Arabidopsis thaliana: one gene and its partner. The protein of the gene in region 1 binds, or shares a complex with, the protein of each later gene. Each region holds a gene or a part of one and is shown on either strand. Other genes may lie near its edges. The genes, in order: COP9 and CSN6A.

Region 1 (7,881 bases):
GAGCAACACATGACGAGATAGACTTTGAGTTTCTAGGTAACGAGACAGGGAAGCCTTATGTTCTTCACACCAATGTCTTTGCTCAAGGGAAAGGAGACAGAGAGCAACAGTTTTATCTCTGGTTCGACCCAACCAAGAACTTCCACACTTACTCCATTGTCTGGAGACCCCAACACATCATGTAAACATCCATCGATCTATTTTCTCTAACAATAAGTGAAAGACGTAGATCTTGACTCTCTTGTTCTTGTCTCTGCAGATTCTTGGTGGACAATTTACCCATTAGAGTGTTCAACAATGCAGAGAAGCTCGGCGTTCCTTTCCCAAAGAGTCAACCCATGAGGATCTACTCTAGCCTGTGGAATGCAGACGATTGGGCCACGAGAGGTGGTCTAGTCAAGACTGACTGGTCCAAGGCTCCTTTCACAGCTTACTACAGAGGATTCAACGCTGCGGCTTGCACAGCCTCTTCAGGATGTGACCCTAAATTCAAGAGTTCTTTTGGTGATGGTAAATTGCAAGTGGCAACCGAGCTCAATGCTTATGGCAGGAGGAGACTCAGATGGGTTCAGAAATACTTCATGATCTATAATTATTGCTCTGATCTCAAAAGGTTCCCTCGTGGATTCCCTCCAGAATGCAAGAAGTCCAGAGTCTGATGAACACATATTACCTCATATTTCTCTGCTTGTTTGATGCAATTCTTAAATTCCTCTGTTATTCCATTGTACATTGTCAAGATCAATAAAGCATTCCTGGTTTCAAAATATAAAACAACTGAAATTAAACCTTTAAAGAGACTACTATTGTCTTTCACTTACCAATAAAGGACAATCAGAAAAATATGGAGACATAAGAATCAACAAGTCTAATGCATAGGTACCTCTAATGTTTTCGTTTCAGTTCTTTGACCTACAACTACAAGTACCTAGATGAACAAGCTCTGTGTAAACAAGTCAAATACGCTTAAACCCTATATACATGACTTTGTTACTAACTGATTAACACTAACAGCTAAACTCAGCTAACAAAAGTTGAGTTTCTTGCTCATTCTTTGGATCAGCTAGTGGCGTCTCAACGTTGTTAGAGCATGTATCTAAATCTGTAACTTCATTTGATGCCCCTTTAGCCTCAATAGCTGAAGCATTCTCCTCTATATTCTTCTGAGGATCTGTATGCGTGGTTTCAGGAGTTCCTAGAAGAACAATGAAAGAAAAGAGACATCAATTTCTAAGGCTACCAATTCTGACTTTATAATTTCAATACAAGCTAATATCATGCATTTATACTATCTTACAATTTACCAAGCCACAGAAGACAGTATTATTATCTGACTAGTACTGACATTGAATTATACCGTGTGCTAAACATGAATATAAAGAGACTAACCATGATTATCCTCTGAGTTCTCTTTGAGATATGAAAGCATTCTTCTGTAATTTACAGAACCTGGCACTTTAAATAGCTTGCGCCGGCAGCACAGCTGTTTCATGTCACAACAGGGAAAATGTCAAAAACAGATTCTTAAATAAGGAACAAGACTGCAGCTTCTTAAAAAAAAACAGATCATACAGAAATTTTGTTGCCACTGGATGAAGTCATCTTCTTGAAAGGGCTATTGTTTCCATGAGCTTTAACAAAGCTATTGGCAGATACGGTTTCAGGAAGTCGGTAATTTGCTGCCATCAATTCACCTCTTTCATCCTTAGGATCTTTTGCATCACCATCTCGGGTAACATCTGCAGCTTCCATCAAGTAAGGAAGCATTCTTCTATAGCTCACAGAGCCAGGGTTCTTGAAAATCTTTTCCGGATGACGAATCTGTATACATATCACAAGAAGAAAATTAAGCAACCAACGAAAAGCCAATATTGTAGTTTAAACGCATCATTTGCTATAAAACCATGAGTAAAAAACATACCACTTTGCTGCCGAGATTGGTACCAACTTTCTTCCCAGAGACCTCACTGATCTCTTGATTGATAGAACCTGCTTCATTTTTCACCAAAGAAAGCTCACCGGTGAACATTCCTAAATCCGGTGGCGTCGTTTGTGAGCATTCCACTACTTCTAAATCACCTCCAGTAGCCACTAATCCATCAACAAGATATTTGCTTCCTTCTCTCATAACTGTTTTCACCATTGTGTAATCATTATAGTTTCTAAACAGATATTGAAATTTCCTAATTCCACCTTCATTATATCAACATTCTCCTAAATTTTCTTAGAAAAACTTGTACAAGAAAAAGACCTTAAAATAAGAATTACCATTAGAATTCGGAGTATCGCAAGGAGATTCCACATTTAGCTCCTTGGTTAGATTTCCCCCTTTCACATGAAAGTCCCAATCACTAGAGATGGAACTAGGAGAGAATACGCGTCTGAGACACAGATTCTTCACGGTGACACGAGAACAAGTTCGGGGCATTTGAGTAACAATTTTCCCTTTGATCGGTGACGCATGATGGTGACGAAGATCCGTGACAATGTGAGACAATGGGGATGCAAATCGAACGGAGGAACGATTGCTCTGAGTTCGTAATTTGCTTGCCATAAGGTTCTGAGAGGTAGTATAACGAACTGAAGAAGACGAAAATCGCATCTTCTTCCTCAATATAGGATCTGATTCGGCCATGGTAGAACTCGCGCCAAGAGAGAGCTACAGAGAGAGAGAGAGAGTGTGTGTGAGAGTGAGAGAGACTGTTTGTTATTTTGGCGGGAACAGACCGGGTGGCTTTATGATGTTTGGCGGGAAACTAAGGCTTAGTGGGCTTGGCCCATTTATCCTCTTGTGTTTGGTCAATTTTTTGGTCGGTTTAAGTAAACCGTATTGAAAAGATTATTAAAACCTGTAAATCTCACAGAATTTATTTTTCTTTTCCCTGGAGTGGTTTTGGGAGTAGAATTGTCATCTTCGCAAAAGCTTCGAGAGTAGTGCAATCGAAACAAGTCATGGATCTTTCGCCTGTTAAGGAAGCTTTGGCCGCCAAATCCTTTGACAAAATCGCCGATATCTGCGATACTCTCATGCTTCAGGTTCGTAATTTCTCTCGCTGTCGTTGTTTCTGATGTTCATTAGGGTTTTGTGAAGTGGATTTTGTGGTGTTAATCGTTCGATTTATCGCTTCTTAATTTTTTTTATAGGTTGCTTCCGAAGGAATTGAATATCATGATGATTGGCCTTACGCAATCCATCTTCTGGGTTACTTTTACGTTGACGATTGGTGAGTTTATTTTCTTCTTTGATGTATTTGTTTGCGTTGTGAACCTAAAGTTAGTTCCTTTATGAAATTAGAGATTGTTTCGTTGAACTCTTGTGAATTTTAGCGCGTCAAAGTTGTTCTTACTACTTCGATTGCTAGGTCCTAGGTTGAATCTAAGGTCTAAAGTCTGCTTTTTACATTACCTTGTTTCTATCCAGTGATTTGAAAAATTAAAACTTGACACAAGTTAGTAGTTGTTGAGACCCATTTAACATTTTTTTCCTTTGTGTATTGATAGTGAGTGTAGTATGTTGAAACTATTGAGTTATGGTTGTGCCTTCTTGACTATGGATTTGGTTTTGATGTTTTGCTGTGCTTGTTTGGAAATACTGCAGTGATAGCGCACGTTTCCTCTGGAAAAGGATACCTACAGCTATCAAGGAGAGGAAGCCTGAAGTTGTTGCAGCTTGGGGGATTGGTCAGAAGCTGTGGACACACGACTATGCAGGTGTATATGAAGCTATTCGGGGTTATGATTGGAGTCAAGAAGCTAAAGATATGGTTGCTGCCTTCTCAGGTAAATTTTTTCTCTGTTTATGACTTCTTAGCTAGTATGAATTGGTTTCTTGAACTAAGCTTGTTGATTGCTTATGTAGTTGTGTACTTTTATTACTTCATATCCCTCTTTAGGTTTTGAGCTTTGATATACATATTGAGATCGAATAGTTGTTTTATTGTTTTAACTTGTGAGGCCTAGTTTAGGATTTCTGTTATGCACAGAACCACCTTTCATCTTATCATTGAACTATTGGAACTCGAATTTGAATCAAATTTCATCAATGTATGTGCCTTATCACTTCTTCATTAGAAAGTAGTTGCTTCTGTGGTCTAACTGAGAGAGAGGTAGGTAGACTCACACAGGAGGAACGAGTAAGCAGTTGACAGACTTTTCCAACCAAATGTCTAAACGTTGATCTGAATTTTGTGAAGTTGTACCTTTTTCCACATCAATTGTTCAACACCTGACCTTTATGGGTCACTTTCCATCAGATTCTAATTCTATTTCTGAATTGGTTTTGTTGTAGATCTTTACACAAAAAGGATGTTTCAGCTTTTGTTGTCTGCCTACTCCACAATTACCATCCATGATTTAGCTCTTTTCCTAGGGATGACGGAGGATGATGCCACAACTTGTAAGCTTCTTTCTGCAATTTCCTTTGCTTACAAAAGATTAAGTACCTCATTTCACATTTCTATTGAATTCTACTGAATTGATTCTTATATTGATACTTTTGAAAAATGTCGAAGAGTTTGTGGCAATGTCTTAGCTTAGTGTTATTGTAGGCATGAATCTTATGACAACCATATATGTTACGGAATCAGAATTAACAGTATAATTGTTTTCTTTATTGCTGGATATATACACAGATGTTGTAGAGAATGGATGGACAGTGGATGCAGCTTCTCAAATGGCGAGTGTGAAGAAACAAGCTGTTAAAAGAGAGCAAAAGGTGGATTCATCGAAGCTACAACGCTTGACGGAGTATGTGTTCCACCTTGAACATTAAAACTAAGTGCCGATCTCCTATTAAGATAGTGAAATTCTAAGAACAGAATTCGTTTTTGAGAGATTTCACAATGACTGATTCTAAGTTGCAACATATCTTGACTCTTTGAGTATATGATGAATAACTCCTACCAATTTTACTCTTATAAGATCAGTTTACACCAACAGGCGAACTAAAACAAACATTTAAAAGATCAGTTTACACAAAAGACGAACTGAAACAAACAAAAGATGAAGTCAATATTATGAGCCAAAAAGGACACAGCCTAAATAACACACGTTTTCAGAACAAAATTAGGCAGAAACAAGAGAAGATCATTTTAGCGACTATAACAAGCTAGCCAATCTCTGAGATAAAAGATGATAATCTTCAAACCGGAGAGGTACTCTAGAAGAATAGGAGCCATTTGTCGATCTAGTAGATGACAAGCTGGGGTTATCAGAGATTAATAATTCTTAATTTATTATTAAATTATCGATAAATGAACAATTTTAAATTTATTGAGAGATTTTACTATTCTTTTATAATTTTTAAAACTGGTTTATGTGAAAAGCAGTTTTTGTAGTTATAATCAACATCCTTTTAAAAATAATGAAAAATATAAAAAGTAAATAATTATTAAGTCTAGAAAACAAAAAGAAAAAAAAATTGATACTGTAGAAATATTAGAAATAAACTCTTCAAAAGATTAATACAAATTTTAAAAAACAAATATTAGTAGGAGTAATAGTTAGAAATACTCAAATGTAAACATAAATTTGTATTAATCTTTTATGTTTACGATAGGTTTTGGTGAATCGATAATTTGTTCATATTCCCTATCCCGTGTGTTTTTTGTTCATATTTTACTCTGTTATATCAAAAACCTAAAGCCTAGATAGTCTCATTTCTCAAGACTGATCCTTTTGTTAAAATCATTTACGCTTTGTGACTTGTGAAGAAGAAGATACATGCATCCTCTGCGCGAGTGAAAAAAATCTCACCTCTCAGTTTAGATTTTCCCACCAATCTAAAGACTGAGAAGGAAGACTTGTTGGTCCCAAATCATTTGTAATTGAATATAATAGTAACAAATTCAAGTTTAAGAAACTCTAAAATGTCTGTTTTAAAAAAGTGAACATGTCAAATTGAAAATCAATTATATAAAATCAAATGACATGCATTTTGGTTGAAAGAAAAACAAACTTCTCCATAAAAAGCCCAAAAACAAGCTAAAAAGAAAGCCATAAACTAAAAGTCTAGGGTTTTGGCGACATTTGTGGGTTTCTAGGGTTTTGGCGACATTCGTAGGTCTCTAATTCGGCGAGAGCACATGTCGCAGTTTTCAGACTCTAGTGATGACGATTCTTCAGGCACCATCCCAGATTTGAGGGTTGATTCTCTGGTTGAAACCTTGAAAACTCTTCTGATGAAAAAAAACTGAAACACTGGCCATGAAGCTTCTTCAGGTCGTTCAAAATTTCATTTTAAATCTGCAAATATGTTTGTTTATGAGTTTTTATATAATATATCTGTTTTACTGTCTATGTAATGTGTGAATCTGTATTTTTTTTTTTTATCTTTTGTTGATATAAAATATATGGATTCCCGTTTTTTGAGTCCACCACTAGAGACTAAGAGTATCTCCAACAAACACTTAAACCCTCAAATTTGAAGGTTTTTTGAACTCCAATAAACCCTCAAACCCTTATTTTTTAAAGGTCACACCCTCAAAAAAATTTTCTATTTCATTTTCGTCCTTATAATTTATATATTTTATAGATAGTTATATTCAAGAGTATTTATAATAAATGACTATAGATTTGAAAAGAATGTACAAACTAACCTTGAGTCACAGTATCTTCTCGGAAACATGTTGGAGAACACGTGTAATTACGTAAATGTCCTTTGTAACATGTTATTTTTCCGAAATACAGGCGATAACATAATATCCTCTTTTTATCTTGTTATTTTCTCTTATTACATAGTATTTGTAAAAAACACATGATATTTTTTGGAAAAAACATTCTATTCAGTTTAATATCTCTTTTTATCATGATATTTTGTAGTAATACACGTTTTTTATTAAGATCACACGTGATTTCTTTAAAAATATATTCTTATTTTTTAGTAATACATGGTTTTTATTAAAATCACATATAATTTTTATTTTTTAAGATTCTGTTCATGTAAAAGAATTTCATAATAATGTTTTTTCTTAAAAATTCATAACGTTTTTTGAAATAGCATGTTTTTAAACTAAATATAACATGTGAAATTTTAATGTTACATGCTATTTTGAAAAATTACACGGATGTGTTTCGTTTACTGTTCATCTTACAACAAATGAAGGGTAGCTTTGTTATTTCCTTTTTTCCGACAACGTGGGTCCATGGTTATTTTGTAACAAAAAACTTTCTCTCTGCTAGTTTCTTAATTTGTATGTTTTATTTGGTTATCTACTAATATTACCCTATATTCAATTCAATTATATTAAATATATCCATATAATTAAAATACATTAAAATTAAAATTAAAATTATTAAAATATAAAATATATTATATTTCAAAACAAAGTTTATACAACAATGATATTACATTGAGCAATTTAACACACATTAACATTATCATTTCAATAATAAAATTATACATGAAATACACGAGTTTTATTTTATGTTTCTTTTTTAATTTATATATAATTTTGTAGTAACATGTAAAGTTTTGTTTCTCTAATATTGTTTGACATTATTTTTTTGAAATGTATGTTTTAAATTTTTTTATGAAGTTTTATCATTAGAACAAATGATTGTCAATATTGAGGGTGTGTTATTGGAGTAAGTGACCATCAAACCCTTATTTTGAAGGTTTGACATCTTTAAATTTGAGGACTTTTTGAACTCCAACAAACCCTTATTTTTTGTGGGTGTGAATAGTGTACCTTCAAATTTGAGTGTGCACTACTCACACCCTCAAAATCTTTTCAAAATTTCATTTTAGTCCTCATACTTATTTTTTTTTTAAATAATTCTATTACATTTAATTTTTACAAGTATATTCATATAAATTCAAATATAAAAAACATAACATTTAAAAACAAATTTATACAACAATAATATTACATTGAGCATATA
Region 2 (8,403 bases), on another chromosome or scaffold:
GTCGTTTTTAATCTTCGTGGCTCGATCATTTTTGATTCATTTCCAAAATTCTCGAAGCTAATTCGTTAGAATCTAAAATCCTATGTTTTGATTTTGTGAGATTCCATGAAAGTGGCTTAACGTGTGAAAAAGAAAAAGTCCTTCATTTTCTTACATTTTTTTCTTTTGTCTGAATGAATTATTTTATATATTTTTTGTCCACTTTGAAATAAAAAAGTTTTAAACTTTGAGAAACTTAAGCTCACTGGTTTAGTGACACTTGTCTCTAATCATCGTTGTGTTTAGCTAGATTATTGTTTTTTTGGTAGTAATCTGAAGTTTTGTGATTCTTTATCATATTTTCAGGAGTTTCATCACAGTTTGATCAGAGATTCAGCCAAATTCTTGGATACTAAATGGCTGGTTTTGATGAAAATGTTGCTGTGATGGGAGAATGGGTGCCTCGTAGTCCTAGTCCCGGGACACTTTTCTCCTCTGCTATTGGAGAAGAGAAGAGCTCGAAACGTGTTCTTGAAAGAGAGTTATCTTTGAATCATGGTCAAGTTATTGGTTTAGAAGAAGACACTAGTAGTAATCATAACAAGGATTCTTCACAAAGCAATGTTTTTCGAGGTGGTCTCAGTGAAAGAATTGCTGCAAGAGCTGGATTTAATGCTCCAAGGTTGAACACTGAGAATATCCGCACCAACACCGACTTTTCCATTGACTCTAACCTTCGATCTCCTTGCTTAACCATCTCTTCTCCTGGCCTTAGCCCTGCAACACTCTTGGAATCTCCTGTTTTCCTTTCTAACCCATTGGTAAGCTACAAGTTGGTTTGCTTTCTTTCGATGTTATTATGGAGCTATTTTTTCTGAATATCTCGGTGACCTTGCAGGCTCAACCTTCTCCAACTACCGGGAAATTTCCATTTCTTCCTGGTGTTAATGGTAATGCATTGTCTTCTGAGAAAGCGAAAGACGAGTTCTTTGATGATATTGGAGCATCATTCAGCTTCCATCCTGTTTCAAGATCATCTTCCTCTTTCTTCCAAGGCACAACAGAGATGATGTCAGTTGATTATGGTAACTACAACAATAGATCTTCTTCTCATCAATCCGCAGAAGAAGTAAAACCTGGCTCTGAAAACATAGAAAGCTCCAATCTTTATGGGATTGAAACTGACAATCAAAACGGGCAGAACAAGACATCTGATGTCACTACAAACACCAGTCTTGAAACCGTGGATCATCAAGAGGAAGAAGAAGAGCAAAGACGCGGTGATTCGATGGCTGGTGGTGCGCCTGCAGAGGATGGATATAACTGGAGGAAATACGGACAAAAGTTGGTCAAAGGAAGTGAGTATCCGCGAAGCTATTACAAGTGCACAAACCCGAATTGTCAGGTGAAGAAGAAAGTTGAGAGATCAAGGGAAGGTCACATCACAGAGATTATATACAAAGGAGCTCATAATCATCTTAAACCTCCACCTAATCGCCGCTCAGGGATGCAAGTAGATGGAACTGAACAAGTTGAACAACAACAACAACAGAGAGATTCTGCTGCAACGTGGGTTAGTTGTAATAACACTCAACAACAAGGTGGAAGCAATGAGAACAATGTCGAAGAGGGATCTACGAGATTCGAGTATGGAAACCAATCTGGATCAATTCAAGCTCAAACCGGAGGTCAATACGAGTCAGGTGATCCTGTGGTTGTGGTTGATGCTTCTTCAACATTCTCTAATGATGAAGATGAAGATGATCGAGGGACACATGGAAGTGTTTCTTTGGGTTACGATGGAGGAGGAGGAGGTGGGGGAGGAGAAGGAGATGAATCAGAGTCGAAAAGAAGGTTTGTTTTAGCAATCGAAACACCGAATCCTCGATGACTCAGTAAACGAGACTCAAAAACTTTTTGATTTTACAGGAAACTAGAAGCTTTTGCAGCAGAGATGAGTGGATCAACAAGAGCCATACGTGAGCCAAGAGTTGTTGTGCAGACAACGAGTGATGTTGACATTCTTGATGATGGTTATCGCTGGCGAAAATATGGTCAGAAAGTTGTCAAAGGCAATCCAAATCCAAGGTTCTTTATAATCCCCTCCTCTGTTTTGGTCTGGTTCTGTTTATATGTTTATCGGCAATCACAAGACCAATTCTTTTTTTATAACGTTTTCATAATGTTTTTCTAGGAGTTATTACAAATGCACAGCTCCAGGATGTACAGTGAGGAAACATGTTGAAAGAGCTTCTCATGATCTCAAATCCGTTATAACAACTTACGAAGGCAAACATAACCATGACGTCCCCGCTGCACGCAACAGCAGCCACGGAGGCGGTGGTGATAGTGGTAACGGTAACAGCGGCGGTTCAGCCGCAGTTTCTCACCATTACCACAACGGTCATCACTCAGAGCCGCCACGTGGGAGATTCGACAGACAAGTCACAACTAACAATCAGTCTCCTTTTAGCCGTCCCTTTAGCTTTCAGCCACATTTGGGTCCTCCTTCTGGTTTCTCCTTCGGTTTAGGACAAACCGGTTTGGTTAATCTTTCAATGCCTGGTTTAGCGTATGGTCAAGGGAAAATGCCGGGTTTGCCTCACCCGTATATGACACAACCGGTTGGGATGAGTGAAGCAATGATGCAGAGAGGGATGGAACCAAAGGTTGAACCGGTTTCAGATTCAGGACAATCGGTATATAACCAGATCATGAGTAGATTACCTCAGATTTGAAATTTACTCTTCTTCTTCTTCTTCTGCATTTGGTCACTCCTTATAATAACTTTTAATTTCTGCTTCTTCTTCTTCTTTCATTTATTGGTTTCAAACTTTGGGGAAGGTAAAGGCTGTTTTATTGTTCATTCCTTGGTTTTGTCTTCTTTTTTACTGGTTCTTTATCTTATATTGAAATCAACAAAGAAGAAAAAAGTGAGTGTTGTGTAGCAATACTGCAATTGCTAACTGGAGACTGATGTGGATGTAACTAGAGAGACTGATAGAATCAAACCTTAAAATCTTTTTACTAACAATAGAAACTTGTTCAAGATCAAACAAGAGCTTTGATAGATAAGCAGATGTTCTTATAGATATAGAAACAATGAAGAGGATAAAGTCTTGCCGTCTGAGTTATAGATTCTCACAGAGGCAATGTTAAAAATGGTTTCAGGAACCAAGAGAAGATCTTTAGAACTAGAATCGCTGGAAAGGATCTTTTACATGAATGCAGTTCTTCCACCTCTTCGAGTGTTTCTGTCATATGCGGTGTTGAATTTGTCGACCATCTCGTTCATGTTGCTGCAGATTGAGCAAACAAAATTATTAACTGATATAACAGAATCCACCAGCCCGGTGAAAACCGTATCTTTCACAGTTCCTAAAGAACCACTAGTTAAAGAGCATTCGCTAGCCTATATACTTGCTTTCAAATACTTTAGAATGTTGCATTAGGTACAAACCTGGAACAATTTGTAATCATCGCTAGGTAAGTTATTAGTAATTTGTCGTTGTACTCCTGCAAAAAGAAAAAATGCCAGCATAAGTTGCGAAATATCTCAGACAATAAGCTACACTGAAAAGAATCAAGTGCAGATCTAACTAACTCACCATCAAGAAATTATCTTGAAATCTCTCTGATTCCATGGCAGGCAATCTTCTTAGCAGGCTAGATACTTGTCTCAGAACTGAGTTGTCACAAGATTTATCACCTACACACATAAATGAGTTGGCAGATAAATTATTACACTTACACAACTTTGACTATCTTCAGCTAGAATCCTGGACTGGTAAACATGAAACCACGGTGATAAGAATCGGAACTTGGGAAAGAACAGAATATACCTTTCTGCATTGCAGCAAGATTTTGGTAAAGCACTCTGATTCTGCTATTAAGCATCTTGATGGCACTATGTATACCAGTAAGATGAGCAGCCACTGCATATGAACGAATAATCAGCCAAAAACAGTAAGACTCAGGAAGTGGAGTATGATATGTATTAGTGACATAAGGCTCACACTGGGTTGCTGCTGAGCCTCCGTCAGATGGTTTAAGATGTGCAACATGATCAACTGATATCCGTTCAGCTTCAACTGTCTACATTGTATAACACCTCAAAATCTTAGTCAATGTACACTTTCATAACATAGATTAAATTGCAGAATGTTTGACAAAAAAAAAAAAAATTATTTGCAGAATCAAACTTAAGCACAGACCTCGATTGTGTAGCTTGTATGAGCGAAAATTAGCTGCGGGATTCCATCAATGACATGCAATTCTTCAAGTAATGAAGATCAATCAATGAAACAAAGAGAAAAGTTAGGATCTTGTAAAACAATCTGACCTAAATCTGGAAGTCAATAAAGATAAAGACTTGGGAAGATATCTAGAAACTCTGAACTACGCATATACCTATACTAACATGCTAACATATCAGAATGTACCCACAGAACCATATGACATTATAAGAAGCATACCACTTTCATAAATAGTCACTGGAAGATCCTTCTGTGTGTGATTGATAGCAGGGTTTAAAAGCACATAAACAGGAGATTCATTGATATCCATCAACTGTCACCAAGAGCAGACACAAAAACCACACTTTTAGAGACCAAATCTCAATTATACAAAAATACTAGAGAGAGCATTGGACTCACAGCTTTATGGATATGCATATCAGATTCCTCAGCATCACTTCCCGTAGAGTACCATCCCAGAATATAGAAATCAGGGAACACCTTCTTATCTAATAAACAATAAAACCAGATAAAAGTTCAAACTTTAATTTACGATTGCATCAATAGTTGAGAATAAAAAGAGTGAGCTTTAGCTTACAGAGCTCTTGCTTCTTCTCGAGGAAAGATCTATCAAGGGTTTGAGTAGAAGGATCATATAAAAGCTCGAAACTGTTGAATATCTCAACAGTACGACCTCTCTGGACACCGATCACACATCCGTAAACCCTAGGGTTTTGCTGGAACATTGCTTCGCCGTTGTTTGAGCCATGGCCGCTTGCGCAGATTGAAGCAGGAGGATTGAGCTGAGTTTTGACCCTAGTGTAGTGATCCGATATGTTGACGATTACCAAAGGATGTAGCTTGAAGGTTAAACCGCTTGATGACGAAGGTGCCATTGTCGATCTCTCTCTCCTTTGATGAATTCTTTGGTTTTTGGGTTTTTAGTTTTTTTATGAAGATTTTTTTTATTTAAATCAATGTGGATTCGGATCCTAGATCGGGTCTTCCGGGTCAACTATATGGATATTAGTTTTTTCTGTATGGGCCGAGCGTAGGACTTATATATGCGGTTGGGCCTCATGACTTGTTTTTCCAATTACATTTTTTCATTTTGGAAACTAATTATATTAATTAACAAACGAAAATAAGATAAACCAAACGATTGAGACTCATAAAATCAGATATCTGAAGTTGACAAAAAATGTACTAGAAATTTGAAAACAGACAACATTCATCAAATTTTTCAATATGAAAGTTCAATAGTTCAGTGGTTAGACTAAAGGTTATAATTTTTTCCACAAAATGTTTGATTTCTAGTGTGTAAATTCTTGCAAGTTAATGAAAGGAAAAAAAAATCTAGAGATGCCTAGCATATTGTAACTATTGTTGATGTAGATGAATTTTTTTTTTTTTTTTAGTTATTGATGAAATTAGTGAAGTCATGTTGGTCGTCCAAATGTGTGATATGAGTACAAGAGTAGAATCTACCTTCGTTTGTAACGCATTGCACAATCAATCAAGAAATATAACTAAACCCAGCAAAAATCAAGCAATATAATTTATTTATCTTTGGTATGATCAAGCAAATATAATTCAACACTAATAGGAAACTACAAAATTCAAAAGTGGCAGCAAATCGGACAAAAAGATAAAACATATCTTGATAAAGAAAGATAAAAAAAAACTATATTCACAACAATTCATTTTTAATTACGGATACTGTAAAAAACGGTTTTTTCACAAAAATAAATAACTAAACAAAAATGTGTTGGTGAGCCTAAAAATGTGTGTGGTGTGGATAATATATAAATATTAATTACCAAAATACTATCAAAAAATTTAATAATTTCTTACGAAGCTGTGACCAAACACAACAAACAAAAAAAACACCGCCACGAGACGAGCCAAACTAAAGATTAGGATTTGGGAGGTTGATGATCAATTCCGGACAACGGAGGAAACCATACTGATAGATTCAACGACGGTGATTGCGGCGGAGGAGTAGAAACCCGTTGGAAACATGGCGATGAGAGACCTTGTTAACGGCGGAGCCGCTTGTGCCGTTCCTGGTTCGTCTTCTTCTTCTAATCCTCTCGGAGCTCTCACCAACGCTTTACTTGGTTCGTCTTCCAAAACCCAGGTTAGCTTCCTGATTCCTTTTTGATCGAAACAGTGTTGACATTTGAAGTCTCCTGATTCCATTCTTCGCCTTTTCCTTGGTTCTCCTGGAACTAAGAAGTCGAATTAGATCTCATTTTTCGTTGGGTTTTGTTATTTGCTTGCCAAGTTTCGATTTTTCTTTCCGTAGTGTTAGGGTTTTAGACGTTCTTCGATTATGTCAAGTGATTTGGCTGACAATTGTTTAAAGGTTTAAAATTTCCTGAGAATTTGAAGAAATGTTGATGATTGGTGATTTGTTGTGCAGGAAAGGCTCAAGGAGATACCTAATGCAAACCGGTCAGGTCCTCGGCCACAATTTTACTCTGAAGACCAACAGATAAGGTCACTTCCTGGTTCTGAGTTAGATCAGCCACTTCTGCAACCGGGTGCTCAGGTTAATGTTGTGGAAAGTTTTGGTTTTACAATGGTAGTATTGACTCTGATTATCTAGCCTCTGTGATGGCTGATGGGTTTGCAATTTTTACATTAGGGGTCAGAGTTCTTCCGTGGTTTTCGCTCTGTTGATCAGAATGGTTTGGGTGCAGCTTGGGATGAGGTACAGCAAGGTGGACCTATGCCTCCAATGGGACCTATGTTTGAGCCAGTTCAGCCTACATTTGAAGGTTTGTGATTTGATCTATACCACTTTTATTTAATCCCGGATACAAAACGGTTAGATGTAGTGGTTTTGATATTGAATAAAAGGTAGTATATATTTTCACATATTCATCTTGAATCGAGAAGTACATAACATTATTTTTGTAGGAAGAGAAGTTAACACTGAAAGTGTTAGTTAGTAATTTAGTATAGCGACATGAAATAAATAGTGTGGTCATTTCTTTCCATGAGTCCTATTTCTCCTGAATGACACGTTGAATATTCATAGCTCTGTCTTAGTTATATAGCCTAATGTCGAGTGAGGCATTTTTCGTTTGCTTGCTTGATTAGTTTTTCCATTGCTTATATATTGCAGGACCCCCACAGAGAGTTTTATCAAACTTTCTGCATTCATTTGTTGAGAGTAGCCGTGGTGGTATTCCATTTCGTCCAGCACCTGTTCCAGTTCTAGGATTGTCACAAAGTGACAAACAATGTATACGTGATCGTAGTAGCATAATGGCCCGGCATTTTTTTGCCGATAGGGGAGAGGAATTTATTAATTCTCAGGTTTGCCATTTATCTGATAGTGTTCTGTAGCTGCAACATTGTGTTATATGCTTTCAACTTAGGTTTTAAGGGTCGAGTATATACTTAATATTTTGGTGTTATATCATTCATGCCCATTGCCCTTTTGAAATCAAGATCTATTCAATTATATAACGAAGTGTAATTACAAGAAAGTTCAGGTCCACTCTCCTTCATCTTGAGTTTAAATCAAAATGTAACATTTTGGAATGCAACGAGGTAGCACTGTCACTGTCATATATCACAATCATCTGTGGGTCAGGGCTTTTGTTTGGGAATTATAGCTGTTGTTTTACTTGGTAATTGTTCCTATCTAGTATGGATTTCTCGAGACCATGCCAGCTGTGCAGTATAGTTAAGCCTTTTGTTTGTTGCCGATGGCCTAAGCCGTTTTCTCTTCTCCATGTCGTTGGCTGAATATTTTGTTCGGCATTGTTTTTCAAGGTAAACGCATTATTGTCATCTTTAGATATTGATGATGGGATACAAGCTCGAGGTCATGTTCCCGGGAGATTTCGGGAGCTAGATGATTACTGGAATGAGTCTCAAGCTGTTGTGAAACCTAATTTACATCCTGCTGACAATTGGGCGGCTGAATTTAACCAACATGGGATGGATCATGGTGGTCCTGATTCATGGGTCCAGTCTTTTGAGCAACAACATGGTGTGAATGGGTGGGCTACTGAGTTCGAGCAGGTAACTAGCATAAATAGCTATATGATAGAAACTTTTTCCTTCAGTTGTTTGAAACTTCTCTTTGATTGCCCATCCCAAACATATGTTTATAAGCTTTCAATGAGTATCAAAGACATTATGAGGGCATTTATTTTGGTAGTGTAGACTT

The links.
Region 2: COP9 (region 1) and CSN6A share a complex: the UniProt entries of both Arabidopsis thaliana proteins name them as parts of the CSN complex.

What each region holds. Positions count from the first base shown.
Region 1 is NC_003075.7:8,129,939-8,137,819, reverse strand, and holds COP9 (COP9 signalosome, subunit CSN8), read left to right. Parts: upstream 1-2,831; 5' UTR 2,832-2,952; coding exon 2,953-3,036; intron 3,037-3,144; coding exon 3,145-3,224; intron 3,225-3,598; coding exon 3,599-3,780; intron 3,781-4,288; coding exon 4,289-4,396; intron 4,397-4,631; coding exon 4,632-4,771; 3' UTR 4,772-4,940; downstream 4,941-7,881. Other genes in the region: XTH15 (xyloglucan endotransglucosylase/hydrolase 15), read left to right, coding at 1-181, 260-659; AT4G14120 (uncharacterized protein), read right to left, coding at 1,008-1,195, 1,390-1,483, 1,573-1,821, 1,922-2,130, 2,269-2,635. UniProt on the Arabidopsis thaliana protein: Component of the COP9 signalosome complex (CSN), a complex involved in various cellular and developmental processes such as photomorphogenesis and auxin and jasmonate responses.
Region 2 is NC_003076.8:22,780,421-22,788,823, forward strand, and holds CSN6A (COP9 signalosome subunit 6A), read right to left. Parts: upstream 5,186-8,403; 5' UTR 5,111-5,185; coding exon 4,813-5,110; intron 4,724-4,812; coding exon 4,635-4,723; intron 4,549-4,634; coding exon 4,455-4,548; intron 4,256-4,454; coding exon 4,194-4,255; intron 4,075-4,193; coding exon 3,996-4,074; intron 3,915-3,995; coding exon 3,822-3,914; intron 3,689-3,821; coding exon 3,588-3,688; intron 3,496-3,587; coding exon 3,440-3,495; intron 3,279-3,439; coding exon 3,197-3,278; 3' UTR 2,964-3,196; downstream 1-2,963. Other genes in the region: WRKY2 (WRKY DNA-binding protein 2), read left to right, coding at 396-800, 878-1,833, 1,909-2,067, 2,174-2,717; PEX5 (peroxin 5), read left to right, coding at 6,235-6,354, 6,640-6,768, 6,865-6,997, 7,348-7,541, 8,004-8,255. UniProt on the Arabidopsis thaliana protein: Component of the COP9 signalosome complex (CSN), a complex involved in various cellular and developmental processes such as photomorphogenesis and auxin and jasmonate responses.